Linked DNA regions of Lonchura striata. The protein of the gene in region 4 purifies or fractionates together with the protein of the main gene of each other region. This does not show direct contact. Links are inferred from orthologs where the notes say so. Each region holds a gene or a part of one and is shown on either strand. Other genes may lie near its edges.

Region 1 (6,997 bases), on a different chromosome or scaffold from region 4:
CAGGAACATGTCATCTCCTTGCAAAGAGTCATTGTCAGCAGCCTCAAAAGGAATAGAACCACTGTCTTCCAACCGTGAACCTCTGTTTCCTTTCTCAGTATGCACAATACAAATAAAAATAATTTAGAGGGTTTTTTTTTTCCTTAATGTTGACATCTCTCTCGAATTGAGGGGGAAAGAAAAGGTCTTAAGAATATGAAGGTCTCTGGGCCGAACTGCTCAGTGCTTCCGACTCAGAGGAAGTCTTGGTGGAATTGCTAGGGTGTGGGAGTACCTACTCATTAGGATTAAAGTGCCCTTGTGGTTTTCATTAATCCACTTTGGGATGCAAAGTGACAACAGCATCTTTGTGGGGGATCCATCCGTGTGGGGAGCCTGGTCCCCCCTCTGCCCTGCCAAACCCAGAGCTGCCCCGTGGGAGCCTGGTGGCTCTCCTGTTTAAATCGACAGGGTTTAAGTCCCGCTGGTTTAAATATCAGGTTTAACTGGGGCTTGCCTGCATATCAAAGGCACTATGGTAATTTTTATGAGGGAAAGTGCGGAGGGAAAGTGTTTGCCTGGTGCTGTCCAGGCTCCTCCCTGCTCCCTGCTCAGCGCGGTGCTGAGTCACTGCCCTTCCTCACCAGGAGCCTGCACCCTCCTGGTGCTGTGTTTGTGCAGGATGGGCTCAGCACCCCAGCCTGGGGGAGCCCCTGCAGAAACAAGAGCTAAAAATGAACAAAAAGCCTTCCTGATTCGCTGGTATTTATTTACGTGCTGCCGTGCGTGGTGGGCTCCACTCTGGCACCTGGATTGTGTGTGGACTGGGCTTGAACTTTTCTGGAGCCAGCCATCTGCTTCCTGCTGGTGTGTTGGTGCCTCGCTGCGCCTTCAGTCTCGCTCCAATCTGCACAAGATTTATGGATGGATATTATATAGATTTAACACAATAGCATGGGTTTTATTATTTGCTGGAAAATGTTAATAAACCCCAAGTATTACAGATGCATTTTAATCCCTGAAGTGATTTTTGAGTAGAATGCATGAATTATTAATTGTTGTTATTGTTATTATTGCAGTGCATACCTACCTCACAGGGCATTGTGAGGATTAATTAATTCTTGTAAAGATGTAAAAGGCCGTATAGGTGTCAAGGGTTATGACTAAAGTGCTTTGAAAATGGAAACCACTCTGCAAGTGCCAAGTATTATTATTTATGGAGTCCAGGCAGTGTGCTTGGTGCTGTGCAAACACTGGGCCAGTTATTGCAAATATTTGCTTATATGTGCTTGGTAGGCCGAGCACTCCCTGTTACAAGTCATTTCAACTATTTTAAGGATGCGTCTTAAAAATATGGGCATGAGAAGACTTTCCAGTCATTGGGATGATGGATCCACTGGCTGCGAGCAGCTGTGTCACTGAAGAACTTCAGAAAGCGTGCTTTTATTCAAACACACAAGTGAACCGAGACCTCGGATCTGCTCCAGTTATACATCTGAAAGTTAGGGTTTTGTCCAATCTTTCTTGCTGCTTTGGGAAGTGTAACAAGAGTTATTGTTTAGAAGTGGCTCTCCCAGAGGGCAAAGCCAACTCCCTGAGCTCAGCTCGCTCACTGAACAATCTGCTGTAAACCACAACCTGCTCAACTGCCCCGTGTTGCCCAACATCCGTTCTTGGAAACCTCTGAAAGGGAGAGCCTCCTTCCCATACGCTCTGGAAGTGTCCCCTGTAGCCCTGAATCCAGCTGCACATTTGGGCAAGAGAACTGCAAAGGCTAAAGCTCATAACAGACAGTGAGAGGCGTTTGTGCAGTCCTGCGGGGTGTTTGCCTTCGTGAAACAAGGGAAACCAGAACAAAACAGATGAGGGATGACTATTAAAAGCACAAATCCACCAGAATTCACTTTGTAGATTCTGCAGAACAGAACTTCTCGGGAAATTGCCCAGTTGAGCACATCACCATGTTAAAAAAGAGAGCCTGGCACCCCAGAGCCGCGACCGAACATTTGGAGAACACCAGACCACGGAAACCTTCAGCCAGATGACTTCAGCTCAGCACGTTGTCGCTGCTCGGCAGATGGATGGGAAGACAGTGTTTGTAGTTCCTGAGGGCCAAACAACGCACACTTCAGGGATTTTCCCTCCCCCGTTTCTCACACAAGCTTTCTGAATGTCACACCTCTCATTCCCATTTCATGGACTTCTCAGATATCCTTCTCTAGGCCCCTGCTGTCCCCCAGTCCCCCAGAAGAATTCCCTTTCCTCTTGCCTTAGGCTATGTGCATATTCCCATTTCCCTTCCTCCACACACTGTTACTGCTTATCTTCTTTCACCTGGGAAATAAATCAGAGTATCAGAAGGTCCAACTCCATTAGAAGCACGGACAGATCTAAGATTATAATGTGTGAATGTGTTAATGAGTGCATTGCCACTTTTCCTTTCCCTCTTAAATTTCTTGACTTTCAGCAAATTTTGGAGCTAGACTGGATATAGTGTTCAAAACTATTGCCTCTTTACATACCTGAAGCAGACAGCCTCCACACCATTAGTGAGAAGAGAAAGTTGCTCACTTGGGACACCAAAGTCATTACACAAATAAATGCTGGACACCAAGATTTGCAATTACAAATGTGCTTCCTGGCTTCCTAGAGAGATTTATGTTTCTCTACATGACTTTGGCCTGTATTTAAATATTTTTCTTCAGAAAGGAAGGAAAAACGCATGGGTTTGACCCTGAAGAAAATGAGTACTATAAGAGGATTCTACACCCAGAGACCTACCCAAAGCTTTGTGGAGTGGATGGACTCCATCTGCTTGTGTAATGATGCTCAGGTAGGCAAAATCTGCCTATGGTATATCCCAGGTGTTAGACTGAAGGTAAAATCCAGAACTGGTGCCTTAGGACTAGCATAATTCTCTGGCAATGGTCTATTCACAAAAAAAAAAAAAAGAAAAAAAAAAAAAAAAGAAGACGAAAGAAAAAAGACACTACATTCATGACCAGCTCTTTATGCAGTGCCAGCTGCAGCGAAATCAAGCTCTGAAATTGAGTGTGGTGATGTGGAGATGTGGACACCCTGTTTGAGCAGCACCAGAGCTGGGCTGGCGTGTGTGGAGCTGGGATAACATCGGATGTTTCCATCGGATCTGTGCAGGGTTTGTGGTCACTGGGACTCTGCACGGGTGCCAATGTCCGGACATGAGAGTGCTGGACCGTCGCCCAAGAGCGTGAAATGCTCTTGCAAAACCATTTTAAGATGGAAAGGGCTGCCTGGTGACGAATGTGGTTTTGATTAACAAAGCTCGCTTTCAAAAACAAACAATGCGGCCCTATAGATGACAAACAGCATTTCAATTGTAAAAATGAGCAGCACCCAGGTAGGCCATTGCGTTAGTGCTGCGGAGGATTATTTTCATGAAAGGAGAGGGCAGAGGCGGTAGCGCGGTGCCCACACGGGGCTGGACCCCGGTGCCAGGTGCCATCGCCAACCGCGACGGGCCGCGAGAGGCAAAACCACCATGTTACATCCTGCATTTACATAAGCCCTGTCGGCAGCGCAGTTTAACGTCTTTCCCAGAAAAAGCTCCGCGGCCTGGGCCCGCCGTGCCCGGCCGCCTCCCTCCGCACGGCCGGGGAAGGCGGCGGCCCGCGGGCTCCCGTCCGAGCCCCGCGCCGGGCTCCTGCGGCCGGCCCGGCCGCTCCTCCTCGCCTGGCCTCGCCTCCCGAGGCTCGCCGCTTCCCTTCCTCCTTCCTTCCCTCCCTTCCCTCCCTTCCCTTCCCTCCGCCGGCGCCCATTTCGGCGCGGCCGGGCACCCGGAGTGTCTGCGGGCCGCCGGCTGCTCCGCGCCGCTTGGCTCCTTCCCCCAGTAACAGCTCCCACATTCCGCCCCGATCCCTCCTCAATCTCAATCACACACACACATATTACTTTTTTTTTTTTTTTTCCCCTCCTTCCTCGGGACTTAATCTCCAGTCCCCCCCCACCCGCCCTCCCCACCCTCCCCTCCCCCGGCCCCTGGCTCGGATATAATTGAATATCACAGCGCTACGCGCTGGGTATTTTTTTTCCTTCCTCCTCCTGTGTGTGTGTGGTGGTTTTGTTGGTTTTTTTTTTCCTGGTGTTTTTTTTTTTCTCCTCCTCCTCCTCTCGGTGTGGACACCTTAAAAATACATATATATATGTGTGTGTATATATATAAATATAATCGATAACTATACGCGTGTACACACACACACGCTCACACTGGCAGGGATGTGCGCGTATATACACGCGGCGGTATAAAACACACGGGAGGAGGAGAGACAATCCAGGGTGAATTCCTCGTGCCTCCGTTCCCTGGGAAAGGGGGAGCAGCCGCTCGCAAGGTAAGAACCGGGGGGCTCCGAGCCCCGGGGGCGGGCAGGGGCCGGGGATGGGGTGGGGGCGGCCGCCCTGTTTGTGTCCGTGCGGGCGGGAGGGGGACGGGGCTCCTCTGGACCCCCCGTTGTTATTAGTATGTGTATATATACATGCATAGATAGATATGCAGACACATTTATGTATATATACACATATTCACCCCTCCCCCACCCCGCGCCGCTGGCTTCCCCTCCCCCACCCGCCTTCATTTTTTTTTAAAAAAAAAAAGAAGAAAAGGTTTAATGGAGCGGGGGATGGGGGGGACACCGGCCTCGGCAGCGAATGGCACACGGGAGCCATGGCGAGAGGCCTATTTTTAGCCCGATTTGTGGGGAAGAGCGGCTTCCCCTCCCCCCCTTCCCGCATATTTACTTGGGGGGAGGGGAAGGGGGGAGGGCCCGGTCGGGATGGGGGAGGGGAGGCCCTTCCCCTCCCCCGCTCCCCGGAGTTCTCCCCCATCCCGACTCCCCGTTGCTGGGGAGGGGATACACCCCCACCCCCGGGCCATTCCCGATGTTCACCCCCCCAGAGCCAAGTTATTGATCAGTTTTCCGGCGGAATTCGGGCTGGAACATGCGGTGCCCCGCGGTGGCAGGGAGCGGGCCCGCTTCGGGGCATAAAATAAGCTTTTATTCTCCCATTTCACAGCGTCTCTCCTTGCCAGGGCTTATCCCCGTCCGAAACCCTGGTGTAAATTGTGTCTTGCATCAGTTAGAGGGGCTCGCACGGTTGATGCAGTGTGTACTGTTTTATTGGTGGAGGATTTAAGTCCTGAAATATGTGGCTTGTTATTGTTGTACCCTCGAAAGGGTTAAAATTTATCGTGTTGTTCCAGGTGAATTTAATCTTTCATCACCGAATTTCCTTTTAAGGCAGCTTGACAGAATAAAAGTCTCTCCCTCGCTTGTCTTTATCCCCAGAACAGCAAAACTTTGTCTGTGCTTTATGGCAGGGGCTGGTTGCTGCAGATGACACGTGAGTCTGGAGGAAAGTTTGGTTTGTAGGTCGCTGTGTAGGAAAGTGAAGTTTGCTGGTGAAGTTTTTACTACTCTCCAGTGTGCTCGACTTCCTCGTTTTCCTGTCTGTGTAAATCAAATTCCTAACTGATTTATGGGGGAGGGGATCACAAAACATATTCCTTCCTTATTGTTAAGGCATGGGAGGCATGATCAGGAGAAACAGGTCTTTGTTGCATAAAAAAAAGAGTTTTGTAGGCTTGTCTGACTTGCTTTGCTCTCCTTCTGTGCTAAAATAAATGTCTGAGCACGTTGTGTGCTTTAAAAAGGTTCTTTACTGTTGATGGTCTCTGCCCTTTGGGTGTTGTGCGTTGTGCTCCTTTAGCATCAAGGGCACCATATGCAAAGTTGGTATTTGGGGTTTGGTTGTACCTGGGCTTTGGGGCAGTTTCCAGCCTTCTTCCTGCTCTGAGTAACCTGAAGGCTTGTCCACGTGAGGCTCACATTGTATTTGGGGCCTTCCTTTGGACATGTGTGTTAAAGGGCTTTTTGGAATATGTTCCAAATGAGGACTGGACTGCAAGCTCCCGTGTGTGTCCTTAAATTTAAGTGAGTGGGTATGTGCTTGTGGATGAGCTCTGAAGGGGTTTTTGTCCTTATCCATTGGAAAAAGGGGCTGGGATGGTGCTTAGGCCACAGGTGGTGCCCTGTAATTGATTGAAACAAACTTTCTGTGGTTTTCTCTAGTGTTTTTTCCCCCTTTGGTTTTGTTTAAGGTTTAATGGAATGATAACATTTTGTATTATTTACCTAAGGTCACCTGAGCCACTGCACTGTTGCTATCTTAAGGTTTCTTGGGGGAAGTTGGATTTTTCTCCATGAGAACTGTGTTTTCTGGTACTCTATCTTGGGAGCTTGGTGGCCTGCCTCCCAAACTGTTATTGGGAACACCTGGAGAGCACTTAGCTCTCATTCCTTGAGGAAAAGAGAAGGAAATGTAATTTAAATGTATGAGAAGGGTTGGGGTTTGGCTTTTGGGCTTTATAATTTATTTTTAAGACTTTGCAAGAGTGTATAGTTTTTGTTTGTTTGAACATGCACAGCCAGAATGTGTGTTTGTAGCATAAAGAACACAATAATTACAGAAGATTCTGTTGCTTAAGCTTTTTTTCCTCTTTCAAACAGGTAGTTAAAACTTTTTTTCTTGTGAGTTTCTTTTTAAATATGAATACTTCTTTCAGTTTTACTCTATATATGGTAATTATTGATGTTTGTGTAATGCTTTGAAGTTGTAAGGCAGGGTATAAGCGCTAAGTACCCAACAGCAATACTTCATAGTCATTTTCCCATCATGAAAGAGTTTGATCCTTAAAAGTGCTAGAGCCCTAGGCATAAAGAGGCTCTGGACGGATTAGGGGAAATGGCCAAAATTGCTGATAATGTTGTTTTAAGTTAGGAAGAACAGATCTGAATAACGTAAAGCAAACTGAGTTATTTTACCTAACTTCATTTTGGTCTGGAATTTAATAGAATGTGGACTTCACATTTGAGTCAGAATGTGTTTGCTGTTATAAGTTTTGTAGTGGCAGTAAAGACCCACATCCTACAAGGATGTAATCGTGCAGAAGTCAGGAAGTCTTGTAAAACACACAGCTTTGTGA
Region 2 (7,461 bases), on a different chromosome or scaffold from region 4:
CAGATCCCAGCTCAGATCCCAGCTCTGACTACAGCTCATATTCCAGCTCTGATCCCAGCTCAGATTCTGGCTCTGATTCCAGCTTGGATTCCAGCTCAGATCCCAGTTCTGATCCCAGCTCAGATCCCAGCTCAGATCCCAGTTCTGATTCCAGCTCAGATCCCAGCTCGGATCCCAGCTCAGATCCCAGCTCGGATCCCAGCTCAGATCCCAGCTCAGATCCCAGCTCAGATCCCAGCTCGGATTCCAGCTCAGATCCCAGTTCTGATTCCAGCTCGGATTCCAGCTCAGATCCCAGCTCAGATTCCAGCTCGGATTCCAGCTCAGATCCCAGCTCAGATCCCAGCTCGGATCCCAGCTCGGATTCCAGTTCTGATTCCAGCTCAGATCCCAGCTCAGATCCCAGCTCAGATCCCAACTCAGATCCCAGCTCAGATCCCAACTCAGATCCCAGTTCTGATTCCAGCTCAGATCCCAGCTCAGATCCCAGCTCAGATTCTGGCTCTGATTCCAGCTCAGATCCCAGCTCAGATCCCAGCTCAGATCCCAGTTCTGATTCCAGCTCAGATCCCAGCTCAGATCCCAGCTCAGATTCTGGCTCTGATTCCAGCTCAGATCCCAGCTCAGATCCCAGCTCAGATCCCAGCTCAGATCCCAGCTCAGATCCCAGCTCAGATCCCAGCTCGGATCCCAGCTCGGATTCCAGCTCGGATCCCAGCTCAGATTCCAGCTCAGATTCCAGCTCAGATCCCAGCTCAGATCCCAGCTCAGATCCCAGCTCAGATCCCAGCTCGGATCCCAGCTCGGATTCCAGCTCGGATCCCAGCTCAGATTCCAGCTCAGATTCCAGCTCAGATCCCAGCTCAGATCCCAGTTCTGATCCCAGCTCAGATCCCAGCTCGGATTCCAGCTCAGATCCCAGCTCGGATCCCAGCTCGGATTCCAGCTTGGATTCCAGCTCATTTTCCGCCTTTCCTCTCGCCGGGTGAGGGTTCGCCCTCAGGGCAGAACCCCCGAGCTCTCCTCAGTGCCAGAGCTGACCACTGGAAACGCGACCCCGTGTCCGTCGGACCCCGCGGGATGAATTCCTCTTTTGGGATGAATTCCCAAAGATTCCGGCCAGGAGGATTTGGGGGCGCAGCGGGGTTTGTTCTGAACCGTCACGGCGCCGTCACTTCAACTCCTGCTCCGTGAAATCCTTTGGAAATCCCAGACGGGGCAATCTCCCCCGGGAGATCTCGCCAAAACTCCCCGTGGAGAAGCCAAAAGTCCCCGTGGAGGAGCAGGGCTCTTGTTTTAGGAACTCAATCCACGGAGGGGCCAAAAAACCCCTCTGGGGCCGGCAGGAGCGGGGCTGGGCTGGGAATCCTCGAGGAGACGCAAAACCAACCCAAAATCCCGATCCGGGCCGACGGATCCGCCGCCGACTGTTTGGGAGCGGCGGGAACGGGGAATTCCAGCTGGATTTTGGGGAATGGGACAAAAACCCAGCTGGACACGCTGCCGGTGACTTCGCGGGGCCTCCTTGCCCAGGCTCCTGTCACAAATTCCATCTTTTCCCGATTCCGGGGAGTTTGAGCCCAGAATGAGGCCGGGATCCCCCCAGGGCAGAGTCGGGCCCCTCCTGACCAGCGAGTCTAATTTAGATTATCTGACTAATGACTCATTAGATTCTCCTTAACGAACCCTTGTCCCGCCTCTTCCTTCCCCTCCCCCTCTGCGTCGGTAAACCGCTTTTGGTGCAAACACCCAGAATTTGGGGATAAACCTATTTCCCAACGTTTTCGTCTGTAAAATAATTAGCAGACCGAGGTTGATTGGGCTCGATCAGGTTTAATTTCTATTTGGTCCAACTCTTCCCTGCTCTGAACTCTTTTCTCCCCCCACACTCTGTCCACATTTTATTTATTTTGGGATTTTTCCTCGCCAAATCAATTCCAGCCGTTTCAGAGCCTCGTTTGCGATTAATTAACCCTCGGGACATTTGTGATTAATTAACCCCAGAGATTGGGATGGGAAGGTGGCTCCAGACACGCCACAGCTGCCACTCGGACCAACGTGAAGGGAAGCCAGCCCAGCACGGCTCATTTTGGGTGGATTTCTGTGGTTTGGGGGTTTTCCAGCGCGAGCTGGGCTGGGACAATGTGGATGGACTTTTTTTCCTGGATTTCACCCCAGTTTTCCTGGCTTCCACCTTAATCAGTGATTTGAAGATGGAGCTGTTTGTGCCCCACCTCGGCCCAGGAATTGCGAAACCGTCGCTGCCGGAGCGGTTTCGAAATAATCAAAATCAGCCAAAATCCCCTTTTTTCCTGTTTTGTCCCTTTTGTGTCCCGGTTTTTTCCCTTCCACAACCCAGGGCTGACTTTTGGGGTGCTCCAGCTTTAATCTGGGATCTCGTTCACTCGTTTCTGTTCTCTCTGCTCCAGTCCTGGAAAAGCTCCTTTAATTTATCAAATTTGGGGTTTTTTTAACCTTGAAAAGGTGATTTTGCTTTTCTCCCCCCCTCCCCTCCTTTCTCTCTTCCCTCCCTCCCACACCCCCCAGACCAACTTGCTATAAACCCCTGAAATTATCCCCAAAATTAGTGTTATTATCCCTGAAATGTTTTTTTTCCCTCAATCTCATCTCCTGAAAAAAAAAAAAAAAACAAATTCCTTAATTAACTTTTAATTAATGAATAAATCATTTGGGATCCCTTTCCACAGAATTGGAGCCTCCTTCACTTCTCCCCTAATTAATCACTCCCCGAATTAATGATTTATGCAAACCACAGCTGCTGATTTGCTCCCAATTCCAAGAATTTGAGTCATCCGGAGCAGCCCTGACTCAGCTCCCCCTCCCTTTTTGGAGAATAACTCCGGATTCAATCAAGGATGGAATCGTTCATTAACCCCAGCAGGGGCACAGGCCTCCCTCCCAATTTCCTCGTTATCCCGGGATTTCCGCTGGATTAACGCCGCCCACGCCAGCGGTCAGTGCCTGACCCCCGGCGTGGCCGGAGCCGGGAACGGAGCCGGAGCAACAGCCGGCCTGGGATTACCAGGAGGAGGAGGAGGAGGAGGAGGAAGGTTTGACCAGGGGGTGACCTTGGGGGAGAAACGCAAATTCCCAGCAAACAGGGAAAAAAAAACCCAGGTAGGATGTGGAAATAAGGAGGAAAAAGAGAGAGGAATTCACCTGGAAATAAATGGGGAATTCACCTGGAATTGAGGCACTCACTTGGAATGTGGAATTCACCTGGAAATAAATGAGGAATTCACCTGGAAAGGAAAACTCACCTGGAAGCTGCCATCAAACCACGCTCGCCGTGGGGTCTGTGGGTGACCTCGGTCCTGAGGGATGAATTTGGGGACACTTGGTTAATTCAGGTTGGAGAAAAAGGGAAAAGAGCTCAACAATGGGAACTTTTGGCAGGAGTTTTTGGGGATGAGGAGCCGTAAGGAATCTGGGGGGATCTGAGGGATCCATCCTCACTTATCCCTCATTTCCCCTCTCCCAGCTGTTCATCCCTCATTTCATTCCCCCATCCCCAATTTATCCCTCATTTCCCCTCTCCCAGCTGTTCATCCCTCATTTCATTCCCCCATCCCCAATTTATCCCTCATTTCCCTCCCAACCCTCACCCCTCTTTCCATGTTATCCCTTCCTTCCTCCATCCCTCCCCATCCTCCCTCTTCTCACCCCATTCCATGGAAAAGCTGAGAAAACCTTTGGGATCATCAAAATCCAACCCGGCCACCCCTGAACAGCGTCCCCATGTGCCACATCCCGGCTTTTTTTGGGATAACCCCAGGGTGGGACAACCCTTTCCAGGGACTTTCCTGAACAAACCTCCCCTGACACAACTCGGGGCTGTTCCTTTTGTTTTATCCATGGGGAGAAGGGATCTCACCCCCAGCCCCATTCCAGGGAATCTAGGGAGCAGTGCGGTCTCTCAAATCTCCTTTTTCCACGATAAACCCCCTCATCCTCTGCCATCATTTCCGCCCTCACTTTCTGTCCATTTTTGCCTCACTCTCGTGCTTTGTTCTCTCCCATTTTTCCCCTCAGTCTCCCCCCGTATCCCCCACTCTGCCTCCCACCCTCATCCCCACGCCCTCCCTTCCTCCCCGTACCTTCAGCCGCCCCTTTTTCCCGGATTTTCTCCTTTTTCGTGCATTTTCCCCCCTCAGATCCTTTTCCCGCCATTTTTCCCCTCAGGCTTTCGCCCCTCCCCCACTCCCCCTTTTCCCGCCTTTTCTCGCGCCCCCCCCCCCGCGCACGCGCGCGGCGCACAGCGCCCCCCAGCGGCCGGGAGGACTCCGCGCTCCCTTCCCCCGGCCCTCCCTCTCCCTCCCTCCGCCTCCCCTTTCCCCACCCTCCCTCTCCCCGCTCCTCCTCCTCCTCCCTCCATCCCTCTCCTTCCTCCTCCTCCTCCTCCTCCTCCTCCTCCATCATCCCCCTCCCCGCCCCTCCCGCCCCTCCCTCCGCGCACGCGCCCCGCGGCGCCCCGGCGGCGGAGCCAAGATGGCGGCGGTGGTTCAGAATGTGGTCAAGCTGTGAGTGCGGCTCCCCCCCCTCCCCGCACACCGCCGGTCTCCCCCCCGCGGCGCGGGAATGGTGCGGCCCGGCCGGGCGCGGGAAGCGGGGCCCCCCCTTGGCCCCGCGCGCGCCGGACGGGACCAAGCGGGCGGGCAGGGGGGTGGGGAGGAAGCGACACGCGCGCATTGTTCGCCGTGAACTTTGCTGAGGGGGGCGTTGAGGACACCCCAAAATCCTCCCCCGGCACCGGGAGGGCCGCAGAGGTGTGAGGGGAGAGCAGAGCCTGCGAGGGTCCCGAGGGGCCGGGGGGGTCCCGCAGTCTGGCCCTGAGGGGGTCCTGGAGAGGGCAAAGGCGGGGGTTCGCCCCTGGAAAATTCCCTGGATCGTATCCCTGTGCTTCCCTGTGCTCCCTCGTGTGGCCCTAAACTCCGTCTGCGAGCGTCCTGGAGAGGCCAAGGACGGGGGAGTCATCCCAGCGCATCCCTGGAGAGTCCCTGTGCCTCCTTCAGTATCCCTGAATATCCCTGAATGTCCCTGTACCTTCCTGCTTTTTCCTGCACTGCTTCCCAGCGCATCCCTGGAGAGTCCCTGTGCCTCCTTCAATATCCCTGAATATCCCTGAATATCCCCGAATATCCCTGAATGTCCCTGTACCTTCCTGCTTTTTCCTGCACTGCTTCCCTGTGCACCCCTGGAGAGTCCTTGTGCCTCCTTCAATATTCCTGAATATCCCTGAATGTCCCTGAATATCCCTGAATGTCCCTGTACCTTCCTGCTTTTTCCTGCACTGCTTGAATATCCCTGTACCTTCCTGCTTATTCCTGCACTGCTTCCCTGTGCATCCCTGCCAGAGGGTCCTGTGGAGGCCGAGCTGGGGGGAGCTTCCCTGTACTTCCCTCGAAATCCTTGTATTTCCCTCAAAATCCCTGTATCTCCCTCGAAATCCCTGCATTTCCCTGTATATTCCTGTGCTTCCTTCTAATTCCCTGTATTGCTCTCTAAATCCCTGTATTTCCCTGTGTATTGCTGTATTTACCTTTAAATCCCTGTATTTCCTGTAAATCCCCGTATTTCCTGTAAATCCCTGTGTTTTCCTGTCCATCCCTTGGCTTCATCTCTTCCCTTCCCGCCCCTGTGAGAGTGTCCTGAAGAAGCCAAGGAATGGGAAATTGGAAACTTTATTCCGGAGGATTTCCACGTTTATTCCTGATATTCTCCAGGATTTTGTCCCTGAGGGTTTCCAGGTTTATCCCTGATATTCTCCAGGATTTTATCCCCGAGTCTCTCCGTTTGTATCCCTGACACTCCCCTGGTATCCCTGACATCCCTGAGAGGTTCCCCATTCCCTGTACCCGTCCCTGCCAATCCCGGTGCCAATCCCTGCCATTCCTTGTGCCAATCCTTCCCATTCCCTGCGCCATTCCCTGTACCCATCCCTGCCATTCCCCGTCCCATTCCCTGTGCCGTTCCCCGTGCCCATGCCGCCTTTCCCGGTGCCGATCCCGGCGTTCCCAGCACTGATCCCTACCAATCCCCGTGCCATTGCCTTTGCCAATCCCTCCCATTCCCTGTGCCATTCCCTGTGCCCATCCCGGCATTCCCCGTGCCCATCCCTGCCATTCCCTGTGCCAGTCCCAGCATTCCCGGTGCCGATCCCAACACTCCCAGCACTGATCCCTGCCATTCCCAGTGCCTATCCTGGCATTCCCCATGCCCATCCCTGCCATTCCCAGTGCCCATCCTGGCATTCCCGGTGCCAATCCCGGCACTCTCAGCACTGATCCCTGCCATTCCCTTTGCCCATCCCTGCCATTCCCTTTGCCCATCCCGGCATTCCCCGTGCCCATCCCTGCCATTCCCTGTGCCCATCCCTGCCATTCCCAGCACCAATCCCGCCGTTCCCTGTGCCCATCCCTGCCATTCCCAGCACCAATCCCGCCATTCCCTGTGCCCATCCCTGCCATTCCCAGCACCAATCCCGCCGTTCCCTGTGCCCATCCCTGACATTCCCAGCGCCCATCCCTGCCATTCCCCGTGCCCATCCCGCCGTTCCCTGTGCCCATCCCTGACATTCCCAGCGCCAATCCCGCCGTTCCCAGCGCCCATCCCGCCGTTCCCGGTGCCCATCCCGCTGTTCCCTGTGCCCATCCCTGCCATTCCCAGCGCCCATCCCTGCCATTCCCAGCGCCAATCCCGCTGTTCCCAGCGCCAATCCCGCCGTTCCCACCACCAATCCCTGCCATTCCCTGTGCCCATCCCTGCCATTCCCAGCGCCCATCCCGCCATTCCCAGCGCCCATCCCGCCGTTCCCTGTGCCCATCCCGCCGTTCCCAGCGCCAATCCCGCCGTTCCCGGCGCCAACGCCGCCGTGCCGCGGTGCCGTTGCAGGCTGGGCGAGCAGTACTACCGGGACGCCATGGAGCAGTGCCACAGCTACAACGCGCGGCTCTGCGCCGAGCGCAGCGTGCGCCTGCCCTTCCTGGACTCGCAGACCGGCGTGGCCCAGAGCAACTGCTACATCTGGATGGAGAAACGGCACCGCGGGCCCGGTACGGCGGGGAAACGGCGGGGAAACGGCGGGGAAACGGTGATGGGAAATGGCGGGGAAGTGATGGGAAACAGTGGGGAAGTGATGGGAGAATGGTGAGGAAGTGATGGGAAACGGCAGGGAAGTGATGGGAAACAGTGGGGAAGTGATGGGAGAATGGTGAGGAAGTGATGGGAAACGGCAGGGAAGTGATGGGAAACAGTGGGGAAGTGATGGGGAACAGTGGGGAAGTGATGGGAGAATGGTGGGGAAGTGATGGGAGAATGGTGGGGAAACGGCGGGGAAGTGATGGGAAATGGCAGGGAAATGATAGAGAACAATGAGGAAATGATGGGGAACAATGGTGAAATGATGGGGAAACAACAGGGAAATTATGGGGAAATGATGGG
Region 3 (7,137 bases), on a different chromosome or scaffold from region 4:
ACTGCGACTTCTGGGGACTTCCCAAAGAAGCACAAGGCTCCTGTCATTAACATAGGGATTGCAGAGACAGGTATGGAAATGAGCTGCTCACCTCTCCAGATAAGCTTTTATTTCCTTGTGAAGCTGCTTGATTCAAAGTGTTGGAGTTTTTGGCATTCTCGGGGCTGTGTACAGCATCAGTACTAAACTCTGTACTAAACTCTGTAGTCTATTAGGGATTTTTTTACTTAATTTGCTACCAACTGAACCAAAAGGTGTTGTTTTCACACCAATAATATCCCTGTAACCAGCTCCTTGATATGCACAGTTTCTTAATTTACATTTTCAGAGATGCTGTTGCAAAGAGGTCTGGCCTCAATATTGAGAGGATTGCTGTTCTCTGGGCTGCCAGTCTCTCTTTAACCAGTGAGAAATCTCTCTAGTGAGTTAATATGGTCTACCTTGAGCTTCTGGGATCATCTAGAACAGAGGTGGGGGTGGGTGGGTGGAAATTACATTTTAGTGGTGAGGGCTTGATGGATTAATGTGTCAGGTATGTGCCAGTGGCAGTTGGGAGCAGGTGGATGTGAATTCACCTCTGTAATAGGAGGTCAGGTAAAATATTAACTGAAACTGGGGGTGTGAAAGTGAAAACTTAAACCTGCAACAAGTAGCTGGAAGGTAAACAGGCAACTCCCTGCCTGGGCTGAAGTGGCAAAGGGGAAATGGGAACAAGCAGGAGTCCAGTATGGGCACAACCAGCAATAATGGATCGTGGTCTGTGGATCATGGTTGTGACTGGGATTCAGTTGCCTGCCTGCAATCCATAGCTTGAAAGGTGCTTATCCTCAAGCTGATTTTGGGCATGCAGATCAGGTGAAGTGTTTGTTCCTGTATGTGGCACAGCCCAGTGGGGCTGCACATGGGGCTCCCAGCTCTGCTTGTGGGGCTCAGAGTCCTGAGTATAGGGCACACATGGGCTCAGTGCCTGCTGCCTGCTTGGGAGCCAGGGGACTACTCAGGCATAACCAGGAGCTGAGTCTTCTGATACTGCTCTTTACTCTGTCCTAGGAGACTGACACTCCTTGGATTTTGGTGCTGCTGGTGGTTTTCTCCAGCTGCAGGGAGAGGTTATCCTGGGGCTTCATTGAGTCTGTGGCAGTGTTAGGTCTGGGGGCTCTCCTGAACTTTGCCTTTTTTTCCCCAGGGAAGTTTATCATGACAGCTTCCAGTGACACAACCATCCTGATCTGGAGCCCAAAGGGCAAAGTCCTGGCCAGCATTAACACCAACCAGATGAACAATGCCTATGCCACAGTGTCACCCTGTGGGAGGTGAGTGACAGGCAGGATTCCAGGCTACTCTTTTGCACAGCATAGCATCAGTTCAGACCATTGGCAGTTAATTGTTATTGCAATGCAGTTTTCTGAGGGTTCCACAGTTTAAAAAGATATCTTGGCCCTCCAGGAGATGGAGCTGATGTGGGGTCAGGCACTCTTGTGTTGCTATTCTGCCTCAGCACTGCTGTTTTGGTAACCTGAGAGCAGCTTTGGTCTCAGGTAGCAGGGGTGGGACAGAGCAAATGCCCTCTGCAAAGAAAACAGCATTTTGAACTTGTCTGTGACCTCTTAAAGGTTAATTATAAAAATAAAGATTATTTTCCTGGGAAATCTGTTAATTGGGAAAATCACTTGCTGCTGTAGCTGGATTTGCCTTGCTCCTGGCATGAGGAGTTTGGGGATCCATAGCATTTAGCTCTTCTACTTTGACCGAAGAGTTTCTCATTCCTGAGTTGTTCTGGTACCCTTCCTTAGTGTTCCCTTTACCAGCTAGGTTTCAGAGAAAAGTGGAAATTCAGCTTGAGTGCAGGAGTCAGGATGGATTTGCAGAACTGTGGCCCTGCCTTGCTCAGGTTCTCTCTAAGAGGCAACCTGTGTCTCTGCTTCTGTTCCTTCACACAGGTTTGTGGCATCCTGTGGCTTTACCCCTGATGTGAAAGTGTGGGAAGTGTATTTTAGTAAGAACGGAGACTTCAGGGAGGTGACCAGGGCTTTTGAGTTGAAAGGCCACACTGCTGGTGTACAATCCTTTTCCTTCTCCAATGACTCAAGAAGGTATGTGTGTTACCTGCTCCGAGTTACCCTAACAACATGTAAGCTCATCTCTTCCAGGGTTCACCAGCTGCATCACTAAACTGCAGGGGGTAAAACACTACCCTGGGGAGCCAAATCTAGCTCATGCCACCTATGTATTCCCTGCTCATAGGAATCTCATGTGGTTTAACAAGACCAAGTGCTGATGCTGCACCTGGATCAGGGCAACCCCCGGTATCAATCCAGGCTGGGGATGAACAGACTGAGAGCAGCCTGGGAGTGCTGGTAGGTGAGAGATGGACATGACCCAGCCCAGAAACAGCACATGGGTAACAAAGGAGAGGGAAATTCTGCCCCTGTGCCCCACTCATGTGAGACCCCACTCGCAGAGCTGCCTCCAGCTCTGGGGTCTTAGCACAGGAAGGACACGGGGCTGCTGGAGTGAGTCTAGAGGAGACACCAACATGATCAGAGGGATTGAGCAGGTCTGGTATGAGGAAAGGTGGAGAGAATTGGAATTGCTGAGCCTAGAAAATAGAAGGTTTCAGGTTATGTAATTGTGGCTTTCTAGGACCTGAAGGGAACTGACAAGAAAGATGAGACAGTATTTACAGGGGCCTGAAGTGACAAGATAAGGGGGAATTGTTTCAGACTGATGGAGAGTGGGTTAGGTGGGACATTAGGAAGAAAGCCTTGGTTGTGAGGGTGGTGAGGCCCTGGCACAGGTTGCCCAGAAAAGATGTGGCTGCCCCATCCCTGGAAGTGTTTGAGGCTGTATTGGAAGGAGCTTGGAGCAGCCTGGTCTAGTAGTAGGTTTTTTGCTTTGGAAAGAGAACAGAGACTGTATCTGTGTATTGACTCACCCTTCCCAAGAGATCTCTCTCCACAGGATTCCTGGTTCATGGGCAGGGCAGGGTAAGAGGTGCCACCCTTTTTCCACACACTCACCGTGATCTCTTTTGGCTGCAGGATGGCAACCGTGTCAAAGGATGGCACATGGAAGTTCTGGGACACAGATGTGGAGTACAAGAAGCAGCAGGACCCATATCTGCTTCTGACAGGGCAGTGTGCAGTGCCGGAGCCATGCCGCATTGCCCTGTCCCCTGACAGCCGCACGGTCGCCGTGGCGGGCGGCACAGACATCGTGGTGTACAACACACGGCACGGTGAGGAGGAGGAGCATTTTCTTGGCGTGCACAGCCACTGTGTCACAGACCTTGTGTTTGACACCACCGGCCGCTATATCGTGTCCTGTGGGGATCGTGCTATCCATGTCTTCCACAACGCTGCTGGGCATCGTGCTGTGGTGGAGGAGATGGAGGCCATGCTGAAAAAAACTGGCAACAAAGCCATGCAGGAGAGGCTGGAGCAGCAGATCTCCAGCGCTCACAAAGCATTGGCTGCTATCTATGGCAAGAAGTACTAAGCTACCTGTACAGCAGGAGGCAACTGCACTCTCCCTTGGGGGTGTTATTTTTTTTTAAATAACTGTGAACAGCAATAATAAACAGAGTGCCCAGGTTCTTCCTTGCGTGCTCTGTGATGGCAAGACAGGGCTGGGGACAGTGGCATCTCCTAGTGTCACATTCATGTGTTGTTTTCCCCTCAGGGCTTAGATCATCAGTATCCCATGGAATTGATTGCTAAGGCAATGCCTATGAGTTCTCCTGAGCTTAGAATTGGGAGTTGCGTGCATTTGGGGTAGGTTTTATGGTTAGTTGTTTCGTTTGTTTTTTTTTTTCCAAGAGAACTGACAAAGTTCAGTGTTGATACTGAACGGTAGGGATTCAGCTGCAGGGAACGGGGCAGTGCTGTAACGGTGCAGCGGACTCGGGGTGGCCCCGTTCCCTCGGCCCGGGATCTCGGGGGAATCGAGCAGCGGGACGTGCCCCACGGGAAACCACCGCTGCACCGCCGCTTCCCGCGCGCGTCGTTTCCGCGCCCGCTGTCAGACGCGTGCGTCTGCGCAGGCGCAGCAGCCGGGGCGTGTCGGGCGCGGTGACGCAGGAGGCGCAGCGCGCGGGCGGGCCAGGCAGTGCGCGTGCGCGGGGCCGGGTGCGCCGGCGGGTGCGGCGGGGCCGGTGCTGCGGGGCTGCGCGCGCCATGTCGGGGCGCTCGGTGCGGGCCGAGACCCGCAGCCGCGCCAAAGATGACATCAAGAAGGTGATGGCGGCCATCGAGCGCGTCCGCAGATGGTGAGGGCGGGCCCGCGGGGGGGGGAGGGGGAGGGCCGCGCCGCCCGCGCGCGGCCAATCGCCGCGCCGCGGGGTGCGACTCGGAAGTGCGCGCCCAACCAGCGGGTGCGGGCGGAGGGGCGGTGGCCAATGGGGTCGGGGCGGGGACGGAAGCGGCTGTGATGGGCTTTGAGTGCAGCCAATGGCAGTGCGGTGGGCGGGGCAGCCCGCCCGGTGCGGAACTGACGGCGCTCCGGACCAACCGGAAGGTGGCGGGGGGCGGGGCTTGTTGCCATGGTGCCCCGGCCCGGCCCGGCCCCCTCGTGTCTCGCAGGGAGAAGAAATGGGTGACGGTGGGTGACACGTCCCTGCGGATATTCAAGTGGGTGCCAGTGGCGGACAGTAAGGAGGTGGGTACCGCGCGCGGAGACGAGCCAGGAGCCACCGCCCACAGCCAGCCTAGCTCCCTTAACTTCAGCTGAGCTCCGAGCCTTCCCCAGCCCTACCGACCACCGAGCCATCCCTGAGCCTCCCGATTCCGCCGAACGCCGCCAAACCCCCCTGAGTCCCCTCCAGGTCGATCCCTGAGCCCTCTCCAAGCCAGCACCTGAGGCCCCGCTGAGCCCTCCCAGCCCTGCTGAGGACCTTTGAGGCCCCACCGAGCCCCTCCTGTCCTATTGTGATCCTCCCAGCGCCCCCAAGCCCCTGATCCCCCCCCAAGCTGACCCCGAACCCCACCAAGTCCCTGTCGAGCCTTCTTGGGCCCCCCTCCCAGCCCCAACAGGCCCCTTCAGCCAACCTGAGCATCCCCTGAACTGTCAAGCCCCCTGAGCTCCCTTGAGCCCCCTCCTGCTTCCCTTAAGACTCTTTGCTTGACTCCTCCAAGGATTTGCTTTACTCAGTGTCATTCCTAGATGGGCGTCTGCTCCTCCTCTCTTTTCCTGCTTTCCAGTCCCTTCATAGATGGAGTTTTTTCCTCTCACTTAGGAATGTGCCCCCAAAGGCAAGGGAAAAAGGCCAGCTTGAGCACATCTCTCTGGGCTTCTGGAGACAGAAAGGGGAATGGCTCCTCTGGAGCAGCATGTGTTTCTCTGACATTGTGTTTGTGCTTTTCTTTCTCTCCTTAAGAAAGAGAAATCCAAATCAAGTAGCAGCACGGCCCGAGAACCCAATGGCTTCCCAGCTGACACCTCTGCCAACTCCTCCCTCCTTCTGGAGTTCCAAGGTGGGTCTGGCTGAGCTCCCTTCAGCATGGGGAAAGACTCCAAGGCTGTACAGCAGCTGGGACATTGCTGGTTCTCTGTGCTGCCTGTATGGAGAAGAGCAGTGCTTGCCTCTGAGCACTGGTGTGGACTAGAGAGCTATGAAGTTGAGCTGTGGAGTTGGGCTGATCCACTTCTGGATTGTTTCTGTCTAAACTGTTCCTTTTTGCTGTTAGAGATTCTTAATGGGCTGTTTCTGGACTCTTTTGTGGGAAGCTTCACAGCTGACTAGAGGAGTGGGGTTTCCTGATCACCCCTTTCCATTCTCTGCTTGGGAGAGTCCAGTAGCCACCTGTAGCCAAGATTGCTTTTCCAACAGTTATTTCCATGGACCTTAGGGTGAAGGGGCAATGGCTCTCCGTGGCCTTGCTCTTGGTCTAGGCACTGTGGTGCAGCCAGGAGAGGCTCTGGCAGAGCAAGACTCACTGCTGAAATAGAATGTACACATCTCCCCAACCCCTTCTCTGTGTGTGGCTAAGGAAAATCAGGAATTTGCTGGCACTTCAGGAGATGTGGTGGGGTTATGTTGCAGATCTGCAGTTTGGCAAGGTGTGTGTCAGGCCTGCTTTCTCATGGGAGACAGGTGCTGAGTATTAATCCTTGTGTTGCTTCACAGAGAAGGAGCAAAACCCTAATACAGAGCAGGAGATTCCTGCTCTTTGGATGCCCAGGGCCCTCCCAAGCTGCAGATGTGGAATTTGGCAGTTCTCATTCCCAGGGCAGGAACATTCCCTTTGCCATGGCCAGTTATGTATATGATTCCCACTGTGTTCTGGAGGACTCAGTCCTGTGCCTGACAGCCCTTAGGCTGACGGGGAACAGTGAATCCCCTGGTTAACTCTCTGACCATGCTCTGCCATCTCAGCAGGACCTTGGGCTGCCTGTGCCGCTGTGTCAAGGTGCTCTTCTTCACCAGGTGCTGTTTCTGCAGATGAGAACAGCAACCAGAGCTCCTTGTCTGATGTATACCAGCTCAAGGTGGACAGCAGCCCCAACTCCAGCCCCAGTCCTCAGCAGAGTGAGTCTATGAGTCCTGCCCACACGTCTGACTTCCGTACGGATGACTCGCAGCCTCCTACCCTGGGGCAGGAGACCCTGGAAGGTGGGTGCTGGGCCAAGAAGGGAGCAGGCAGATGGGTGGGCTCAGGGAAGGCCACTCCAGGGCTGTTGCAGGTCTGGTGGGTGGCCTTGGCGCTTCTGGAAGCTACCAGGGCATCGGGGACTTCTGTAGCTAGGTGTTCTATCCTGGTTCAGCACTGAGCTGGGTGCTGGCTCTGCATTTTTGTTGACCCACCTGTTCTCCCCAGAGCCCTCCCTGCCTTCCTCAGAAGTGGCAGATGAGCCTCCCACTCTCACAAAGGAAGAGCCAGTCCCTCTTGAGACTCAGGTAAGGGAAGGGGGATTGAAGCCATCTCTAAATGTGCTTGGACCCAGACTGGCCCTTTGACCATTGTTGCTACTTCTTGTAGCTGAAGCATCTTGGTGGATGGACTTGCTCTGCAGTCCCAAAGTGCCCCCTGGGAGCTCCCAGAACCTCCTGGTTTTCTGAGCTTTGGTCTTTATCCCCTGGTTCAGATCAAGTGTTGAAGTGTGAGGGAAGGATATGGGGGTGTGCGAAAACTACAATTC
Region 4 (7,372 bases):
GGTTTCCCAGACTCGGCATTTTTAGGGTTTTTGATTTTCGCTCGCAGCGTGGAAGAAATCTGAAGAACAAAAAACAAAATCCACCTCGGGATGGCTGTGGGGTTTCCCGGACTCGGTGTTTTTAGGGTTTGTGATTTTTTTTTTTGCTCGTGGCGTGGAGATTTGGAAAAAAAAAAAAAATCAACGTTTTCTCCATCCTGGGACGGCAGGAAAAATTGAATTTCTGGACTTGGAATTTTCGGGTTCTTCGCTTGATTGGAGCCGTTACAAACCCAGCGAGGAGGGGGCGGCGGGGGCTCCAGCACTGCCAGACCCCTCGGGGGTCCCCCCAAATCTGCCGAGCTCCCTCTCCTCGCCCCCTCTGGAATTCTGGAATTCCCCCCGGGCATCCCCCACCTCCTCCCACTCTGCTTCCTCCACCCTTGCTGTTGCTTCCCAGACACTCGTGATCGTGGATCTGTATTTTATTTTCTTTTGTACTTCAATTTTTTTTGTTTTTTTTTTTTTTTGGACCTTTTCTCATTTTTACTCCCCCTTTTTATTCGATTTTTTTTCCAAGTACCGTAGGCAGGCGCCTCTGGCCTGGGTCCGTGGGACTCGTTGGGAATTTAATTTATTTGCGTTTCTTTTGGGTTATTTTTTACCATTTTTCTCCTCCGGTGTCGGTCCCGGCAGATCCGGCGGGAGGCAGGGATTGAAGTGATCAATAAACAGAATTCTGGTTGCTTTATCCCCGCTTTGGGGGCCTCCTCCTGCACCCCAAAACCCTCCCCGTGTCGGGGGGCTCGGTTTTGGGGTAAAAATGGGTGAGTTTGGGGCTGTCCTCCCCATCCTGGGGCATCTGGGGATCGATAAATGTCACTCCAGGGAGGGAATGGGGGTGACGGAGGGTCTGGGGGCTCCGAAGCCCCCCAGATGTGCCCCCCAAAAAGGATGAACTTGTCCCCACCCCTAAAAGAGCTGGGACCAGAGTGGGGTCCCCACTTCTGCTGCCCTTAAAAAGATGAGAGAATAGAGGGGGGTCCCTGCTGCTGTCACCCCAAAAAGAGCTGGGATCGGGTCTGGGGGGTCCCCACTGCTCCCACCCCAAAAAGAGACGAGATTAGGGGGGGTCCGCATTGTTCCCACCCCAAAAAGAGCTGGGACTGGGTCTGGGGGGTCCCCATTGTTCCCACCCCAAAAAGAGCTGAGATTAGGGGGGGTCCCCATTGTTCCCACCCCTAAAAGAGCCGGGACCGGAGTGGGGTCCCCACTTCTGCCCTTAAAAGATCAGAGAATAGAGGGGTGTTCCTGCTGCTGTCACCCCAAAAAGAGCCGGGATTAGAGGGGTTCTCACTGTTTCCAACCCTAAAAGAGCTGGGATTGGGTTTTGGGGGGTTCTTGCTGCTCCCACCCCAAAAAGAGATGGGACTGAGACTGGGGGGTTCCTGCTGCTCCTGACCCTAAAGGAGCTGGGATTAGGGGGGTTCCCATTGTTCCCACCCCAAAAAGAGCTGGGACTGGGTCTTGGGGGGGTTCCCCACTGTTCCCACCCCAAAAAGAGACGAGATTAGGGGGGGTCCCCATTGTTCCCACCCCAAAAAGTTGGGACTGGGTCTGGGGGGTCCCCACTACTCCCACCCCAAAAAGAGCCGGGATTAGGGGGGGTCCCCATTGTTCCCACCCCAAAAAGAACTGAGATTAGGGGGGTCCCCATTGTTCCCACCCCAAAAAGAGCTGAGATTAGGGGGGTCCCCATTGTTCCCACCCCAAAAAGAGCCGGGACTGGGTCTGGGGGGTCCCTGCTGCTCCCACCCCTAAAGGACCCAAAAAGGAACTAATCCTAAAGGATTAGAGGGGGTTCCCCAATGTTCCCACCCCTTAAAGACCCGGTACCGAGGCGTGGGGACTCTCTGATCCTCCCGCCGTTAACGGAGCCGGTACCGGAGGGAGAGCACGTGTTGTTACCGCTGCTGCCGCCGTTAAGGACCGGTAACCGAGCGAGGATCCCTATGGTTACCCCCGTTAGAGGAGCCAGGACCTGTGGGGGGATCGGTGCTGTTGCCGCCGTTACAGGAGCCGGTACCGGGGATTGGGGGATCTGTGTGTTCCTGCCGTTAAAGGAACCGGTACCGGGGATTGGGGGATCTGTGTGTTCCTGCCGTTAAAGGAACCGGTACCGGGGATTGGGGGATCTGTGTGTTCCTGCCGTTAAAGGAACCGGTACCGGGGATTGGGGGATCTGTGTGTTCCTGCCGTTAAAGGAACCGGTACCGGGGATTGGGGGATCTGTGTGTTCCTGCCGTTAAAGGAACCGGTACCGGGGATTGGGGGATCTGTGTGTTCCTGCCGTTAAAGGAACCGGTACCGGGGATTGGGGGATCTGTGTGTTCCTGCCGTTAAAGGAACCGGTACCGGGGATTGGGGGATCGGTGCTGTTCCTGCCGTTAAAGGAGCCGGTACCGGGGATTGGGGGATCGGTGCTGTTGCCGCCGTTAAAGGAGCCGGTACCGGAGGCTGAGGCTGTGTCTTCCCCGCTGTTCCCGCCGTTAGGGGAGCCACTAGGGAGGGCGGAAGGCTCCGTGCCGCTCCCGCCGTTAAAAGAGCCGGTACCGGGGCAGCTGCCACGTGTGTTCGCCGGCAGCAAAAGCGAGCGCGGCGTCACGGACAGGATTCGAACCTGTGCGGGGAAACCCCATTGGATTTCGAGTCCAACGCCTTAACCACTCGGCCACCGTGACTCTGGCGCCTCCGTCCGCCGCGCTCCGCATAGACCCGGGCCCGCCGCCGCTCCCGGCCCGCCCCCGCCCGGTGCCCGGTGCCCGGTGCCCGGTGCTCGGTGCCCGGTGCTCGGTGCCCGGCTTGGTCTCGGTGCCCGGCTTGGTGCTCAATGCCCGGTGCTCGGTGCTCGGTGCTCGGTGCCCGGCTTGGTCTCGGTGCCCAGCTTGGTGCTCAATGCCCGGTGCTCAGTGCTCGGTGCCCGGTGCCTGGCTTGGTGCTTAGTGCCCGGTGCCCGGTGCCTAGTGCCCGGTACCCGGTGCCCGGTGCCCGGCTTGGTGCCTAGTGCCCGGTGCTCAGTGCCCGGTTGTTGGTGCCCGGTGCTCGCTGCCCAGTGCTCGGTGCTCCGCTTGGTACTTAGCGCCCGGTGCTCAGTGGCCGGCTTGGTGCTCGGTGCCTGGTGCTCAATGCCCGGTGCCTGGCTTGGTGCTTAGTGCCCGGTGCCTGGTGCTCGGTGCCCGGTGCTCGGTACCCGGCTTGGTGCTCAGTGCCCGGTGCTCGGAGCCCGGTGCCTGGTGCTCGGTGCCTGATGCTCGGAGCCCGGTGCTCGGTGCCGTCCGGGGGCTCCCTCCGGACGCCCTCCCCCATCCCAGGCTGCTCCAAACCCCGTCCAACCCGGCCTGGAACGCTCCCGGGGCTGTCCCGGGAAATCCATCCCAGCCCTTCCCAGGGCGGAATTTCCTCCCCGAATCCCGTCCGAGCCCGATCTCCTCTCGTTTAAACCCATTTCTCCTTGTCGTGCCTCTCTTGTCGCACCCGCGGGCGGCGGGGCCGGGAACGGCGCCCGGGATCGGAAACAGCGCCCGGCACCGGGAACAGCGCCCGGGACCGGGAACGGCGCCCGAGGGCAGCGGGACCAACAACGGGCGGTGGAGCGGGGGCTCGGGGCCGGAGCAGCGCCCGGGACCGGGAACGGCGCCCGGGACCGGGAACGGCGCCCGGGGGCAGCGGGACCAACAACGGGCGGTGGAGCGGGGGCTCGGGGCCGGGAACGGCGCCCGGGACCGGGAACGGCGCCCGAGGGCAGCGGGACCAGCAGCGGGCGGTGGAGCGGGGGCTCGGGGCCGGGAACGGCGCCCGGGACCGGGAACGGCGCCTGAGGAACAGCGGGAACGGCGGGAACGGGACCAGCAGGAGGCGGTGGCGGGCGCAGCGGGACCGGTGGCGGGCGGTAGAACGGGGGCGGCGGGGCCGGGAATAACGATCGAGGTCGGGAACAACGATCGGGGGTGGCGGTGCGGGAGCGGGACCAGCGACCGGGACCGGAACCACCGGGCGGGAGCGGGACCAGCGACCGGCACCGGCAAGACCGGGCGGGAGAGGCGGAGGCGGCAGTGCCGGAGCGGCACCGCCAGGGGGCGGCAGCGGGGGCGGCGGGAGCGGCAGTGCGGGAACGGGAGGGCACCAAGGCGGGCGGCGGGGATGTAACAGCGACCGGGATCGGGGACAGCGACCGGGAACGGGGACAGCGGGATCGGGGACAGCGGGATCGGGGACAGGGACCGGGATCGGGGACAGGGACCGGGAACGGGGACAGGGACCGGGAACGGGGACAGCGAGCGGCGGGCGCGGCAGTGGCGGCGCGGCGCCGGCAGGGGGCGGCAGCGGCGGGCGCAGGCGGCGGCGCGGCCCGGCCCGCTCAAGATGGCGGTGCGGAAGAAGGACGGCGGCCCCAACGTCAAGTACTACGAGGCCTCGGACACCGTCAGCCAGTTCGACAACGTGCGGCTGTGGCTGGGCAAGAACTACAAGAAGGTAGGTCCGCGGGAACCGCGGGGCCGCCCTCCGGCCCGCCGGGCCCGGCCTGTCACGGCGCCGCCGCCGCCGCCATCGCGCCCCCCCCACCCCGCCCCGCTCCCCTCAGCGGCCGCGGCGGCCGCGCTGAGCCCCGGCCCCGCTGAGCCCCGGCCCCGCAGTACATCCAGGCCGAGCCCCCCACCAACAAGTCGCTGTCGAGCCTGGTGGTGCAGCTGCTGCAGTTCCAGGAGGAGGTGTTCGGGAAGCACGTCAGCAACGCGCCCCTCACCAAGCTGCCGGTGAGAGCCGCGGGGGGACGCGGGGACACCGCGGCCGGGACACGCGGGGAGCGGGGGACGAGGCCCTGAGCAGGGACGGGGCCCCGGAGGTGCGGGCATGGACGCTCGTGGTGCCCGGGTGAAGAGCCCCGGAGAACGGGGGACAAAGCCCAGGCTGGGCAGAACGCCTCAATGAGGTGGGGACAGAGCCCAGGCTGGGGAGAGTGCCTTAAAGATGTGGGGACAGCATCCCTCAGAGCTGGGGACATGGCTCTGGTGAGCAGGGACAGAGCCCAGAGACCTGGGGACGGCACCCCGGTGAGATGGGGAAGAGCCCCGAGGAACAGGGGACAGAGCCCAGGATGGGGAGAACGCCTCAGAAATGTGGGGTCAGCATCCCTCAGAGCTGGGGACATGGCTCTGGTGAGCAGGGACAAGGCTCAGAGCAGGGACAGAGCCCAGAGACCTGGGGACGGCACCCCGGTGAGATGAGGAAGAGTCCCGAAGAAGAGGGCACAAAGCCCAGGTTGGGGAGAGTGCCTTCAAGATGTGGGGACAGCATCCCTCAGAGCGGGGGACATGGCCCTGGTGAGCGGGGACAAGGCTCTGAGCAGGGACAGAGCCCCAAAAGTGCAGGGATGACCCTGGGATGGGGTCCTGGAGGGACCTGGGGGGAGAACCAAAGAAGAGGGGACAAAGCCCAGGTTGGGGAGAACACCTCAGAGATGTGGGGACAGCATCCCTCAGAGCGGGGGACATGGCTCTGGTGAGCGGGGACAGAGCCCAGAGACCTGGGGACGGCTCCCCAGTGAGATGGGGAAGAGCCCCGAGGAACGGGGGACAAAGCCCAGGTTGGGGAGAACGCCTTAAAGATGTGGGGACAGCATCCTTCAGAGCGGGGGACATGGCTCTGGTGAGCGGGGACAGAGCCCAGAGACCTGGGGATGGCACCCCAGTGAGCTGGGGAAGAGCCCCAAAGAAGAGGGCACAAAGCCCAGGTTGGGCAGAACGCCTCAATGAGGTGGGGACAGAGCCCAGGTTGGGGAGAACGCCTCAGAAATGTGGGGACAGCATCCCTCAGAGCTAGGGACATGGCTCTGGTGAGCGGGGACAAGGCTCTGAGCAGGGACAGAGCCCAAAGACCTGGGGACGGCACCCCGGTGAGATGAGGAAGAGTCCCAAAGAATGGGGGACAAAGCCCAGGTTGGGGAGAACGCCTCAGAGATGTGGGGACAGAGCCCAGGTTGGGGAGAGTGCCTTAAAGATGTGGGGACAGCATCCCTCAGAGCGGGGGACATGGCCCTGGTGAGCAGGGACAGAGCCCAGAGACCTGGGGATGGCACCCCGGTGAGCTGGGGAAGAGCCCCGAAGAAGAGGGCACAAAGCCCAGGATGGGGAGAACGCCTCAATGAGGTGGGGACAGAGCCCAGGTTGGAGAGAGTGCCTTAAAGATGTGGAGACAGCATCCCTCAGAGCTGGGGACATGGCCCTGGTGAGCGGGGACAAGGCTCTGAGCAGGGACAGAGCCCCAAAAGTGCAGGGATGACCCTGGGATGGGGTCCTGGAGGAACCCAGGGGGGAGAACCAAAGAAGAGGGGACAGAGCCCAGGTTGGGGAAAGCACCCCAATATCCAGGGAAGGCATCCCAGTACTCAGGATGTCCCCTCAATGCCCAGGGACAGAGCCCTGGTGCCTGGGGACAGGGCCCTGCTGAGCAGGGACAAGACCCTGAGCAGGGACAGAGCCCAAAGCCTCGGGGACAGCACCCCAAAATCGCAGGGACAGAGCCCAAAGACCTGGGGACAGCACCCCAGTGCCCAGGGACAGAGCCCAAAGACCTGGGGACAGCACCCCAAAATCCCAGGGACAGAGCCTTGGGGATTTGGGGACCCAGGGATTTGGGGACCCCAGGGATTTGGGGACCCAGGGATTTTTTGACCCTGATGAGCAGGGACAGTGCCCTCAAGGCCTGGGGACAGACCCCAATGACCCTGGGATGAGGCCCCAGTGCCCCACATGCAGCAACCCAAAAACCTGGGGACAAAGCTGAGTGGGAATGGGGCCCCAGAGCCCCCCAAAAAAGCTCCAAAGAACAGGGGACAAGGCTCTGAGTGGGGACAGCACCCCAATACCCAGGGACAGCATCTGAGTGCTCAGGAACAGAACCCCAGGACTTGGGGACAGCACCCAGGGACAGGGTGACAAGGCCTAAATGGGCACAGCATCCCAAAAATGCAGAAGCAGCACCCCAAACCTTGGGGCAGAGCCCCAGTGAAAAGGGGACAAGGACAATGATGACCAGGGACAGGGTCCTGAGCAGGGACAGTGCCCCAGAGACGGGGACAGCCCTGGGGCCGTGTCCCCAAAGACCTGGGGACACAGCTCTGAGCAGGGACAGCACCCCAATACCTGGGGACACGACCCTGAGCAGGGACAGCACCCAAAGCCTCAGGGACACGGCCCTGGTGACACCGTTCAGCATTTGGTGGCTCGGGGACAGCAGCTGACCATGGACAGCGGCCAGTGACAGTGCCCTGGTCAGGGACATGGCCTGGAGTGCTGGGGACAGTGCCGGGGACCCTGGGACACCATTGTCCCCA

What was found.
Region 1: the proteins of SMARCC2 (region 4) and TBL1XR1 fractionate together in Homo sapiens (co-fractionation; 3 studies listed by BioGRID, with this or other methods). This does not show direct contact. The link is inferred for Lonchura striata from reciprocal best matches to the Homo sapiens genes SMARCC2 and TBL1XR1.
Region 2: the proteins of SMARCC2 (region 4) and DPF2 purify together in Homo sapiens (affinity purification with mass spectrometry; 8 studies listed by BioGRID and IntAct, counting the BioPlex papers as one, with this or other methods). This does not show direct contact. The link is inferred for Lonchura striata from reciprocal best matches to the Homo sapiens genes SMARCC2 and DPF2.
Region 3: the proteins of SMARCC2 (region 4) and BCL7B purify together in Homo sapiens (affinity purification with mass spectrometry; 3 studies listed by BioGRID and IntAct, counting the BioPlex papers as one, with this or other methods). This does not show direct contact. The link is inferred for Lonchura striata from reciprocal best matches to the Homo sapiens genes SMARCC2 and BCL7B.

Annotation. Positions count from the first base shown.
Region 1 is NC_134612.1:20,899,111-20,906,107, forward strand, and holds the start of TBL1XR1 (F-box-like/WD repeat-containing protein TBL1XR1), read left to right. Parts: upstream 1-3,997; 5' UTR 3,998-4,346; intron 4,347-5,297; exon of another isoform or gene 5,298-5,355; intron 5,356-6,997. UniProt on the Homo sapiens protein: F-box-like protein involved in the recruitment of the ubiquitin/19S proteasome complex to nuclear receptor-regulated transcription units. Plays an essential role in transcription activation mediated by nuclear receptors.
Region 2 is NC_134638.1:227,614-235,074, forward strand, and holds the start of DPF2 (zinc finger protein ubi-d4), read left to right. Parts: upstream 1-4,444; 5' UTR 4,445-4,509; coding exon 4,510-4,541; intron 4,542-6,912; coding exon 6,913-7,073; intron 7,074-7,461. Other genes in the region: uncharacterized protein LOC110478861, read left to right, coding at 1-989. UniProt on the Homo sapiens protein: Plays an active role in transcriptional regulation by binding modified histones H3 and H4. Is a negative regulator of myeloid differentiation of hematopoietic progenitor cells. Might also have a role in the development and maturation of lymphoid cells.
Region 3 is NC_134622.1:786,566-793,702, reverse strand, and holds the start of BCL7B (B-cell CLL/lymphoma 7 protein family member B), read left to right. Parts: upstream 1-4,125; 5' UTR 4,126-4,175; coding exon 4,176-4,267; intron 4,268-4,580; coding exon 4,581-4,656; intron 4,657-5,374; coding exon 5,375-5,471; intron 5,472-6,373; coding exon 6,374-6,610; intron 6,611-6,815; coding exon 6,816-6,895; intron 6,896-7,137. Other genes in the region: TBL2 (transducin beta-like protein 2), read left to right, coding at 1-70, 1,187-1,313, 1,941-2,093, 3,042-3,498. UniProt on the Homo sapiens protein: Positive regulator of apoptosis. Plays a role in the Wnt signaling pathway, negatively regulating the expression of Wnt signaling components CTNNB1 and HMGA1.
Region 4 is NC_134629.1:5,444,154-5,451,525, reverse strand, and holds the start of SMARCC2 (SWI/SNF complex subunit SMARCC2), read left to right. Parts: upstream 1-4,353; 5' UTR 4,354-4,401; coding exon 4,402-4,512; intron 4,513-4,673; coding exon 4,674-4,793; intron 4,794-7,372. UniProt on the Homo sapiens protein: Involved in transcriptional activation and repression of select genes by chromatin remodeling (alteration of DNA-nucleosome topology).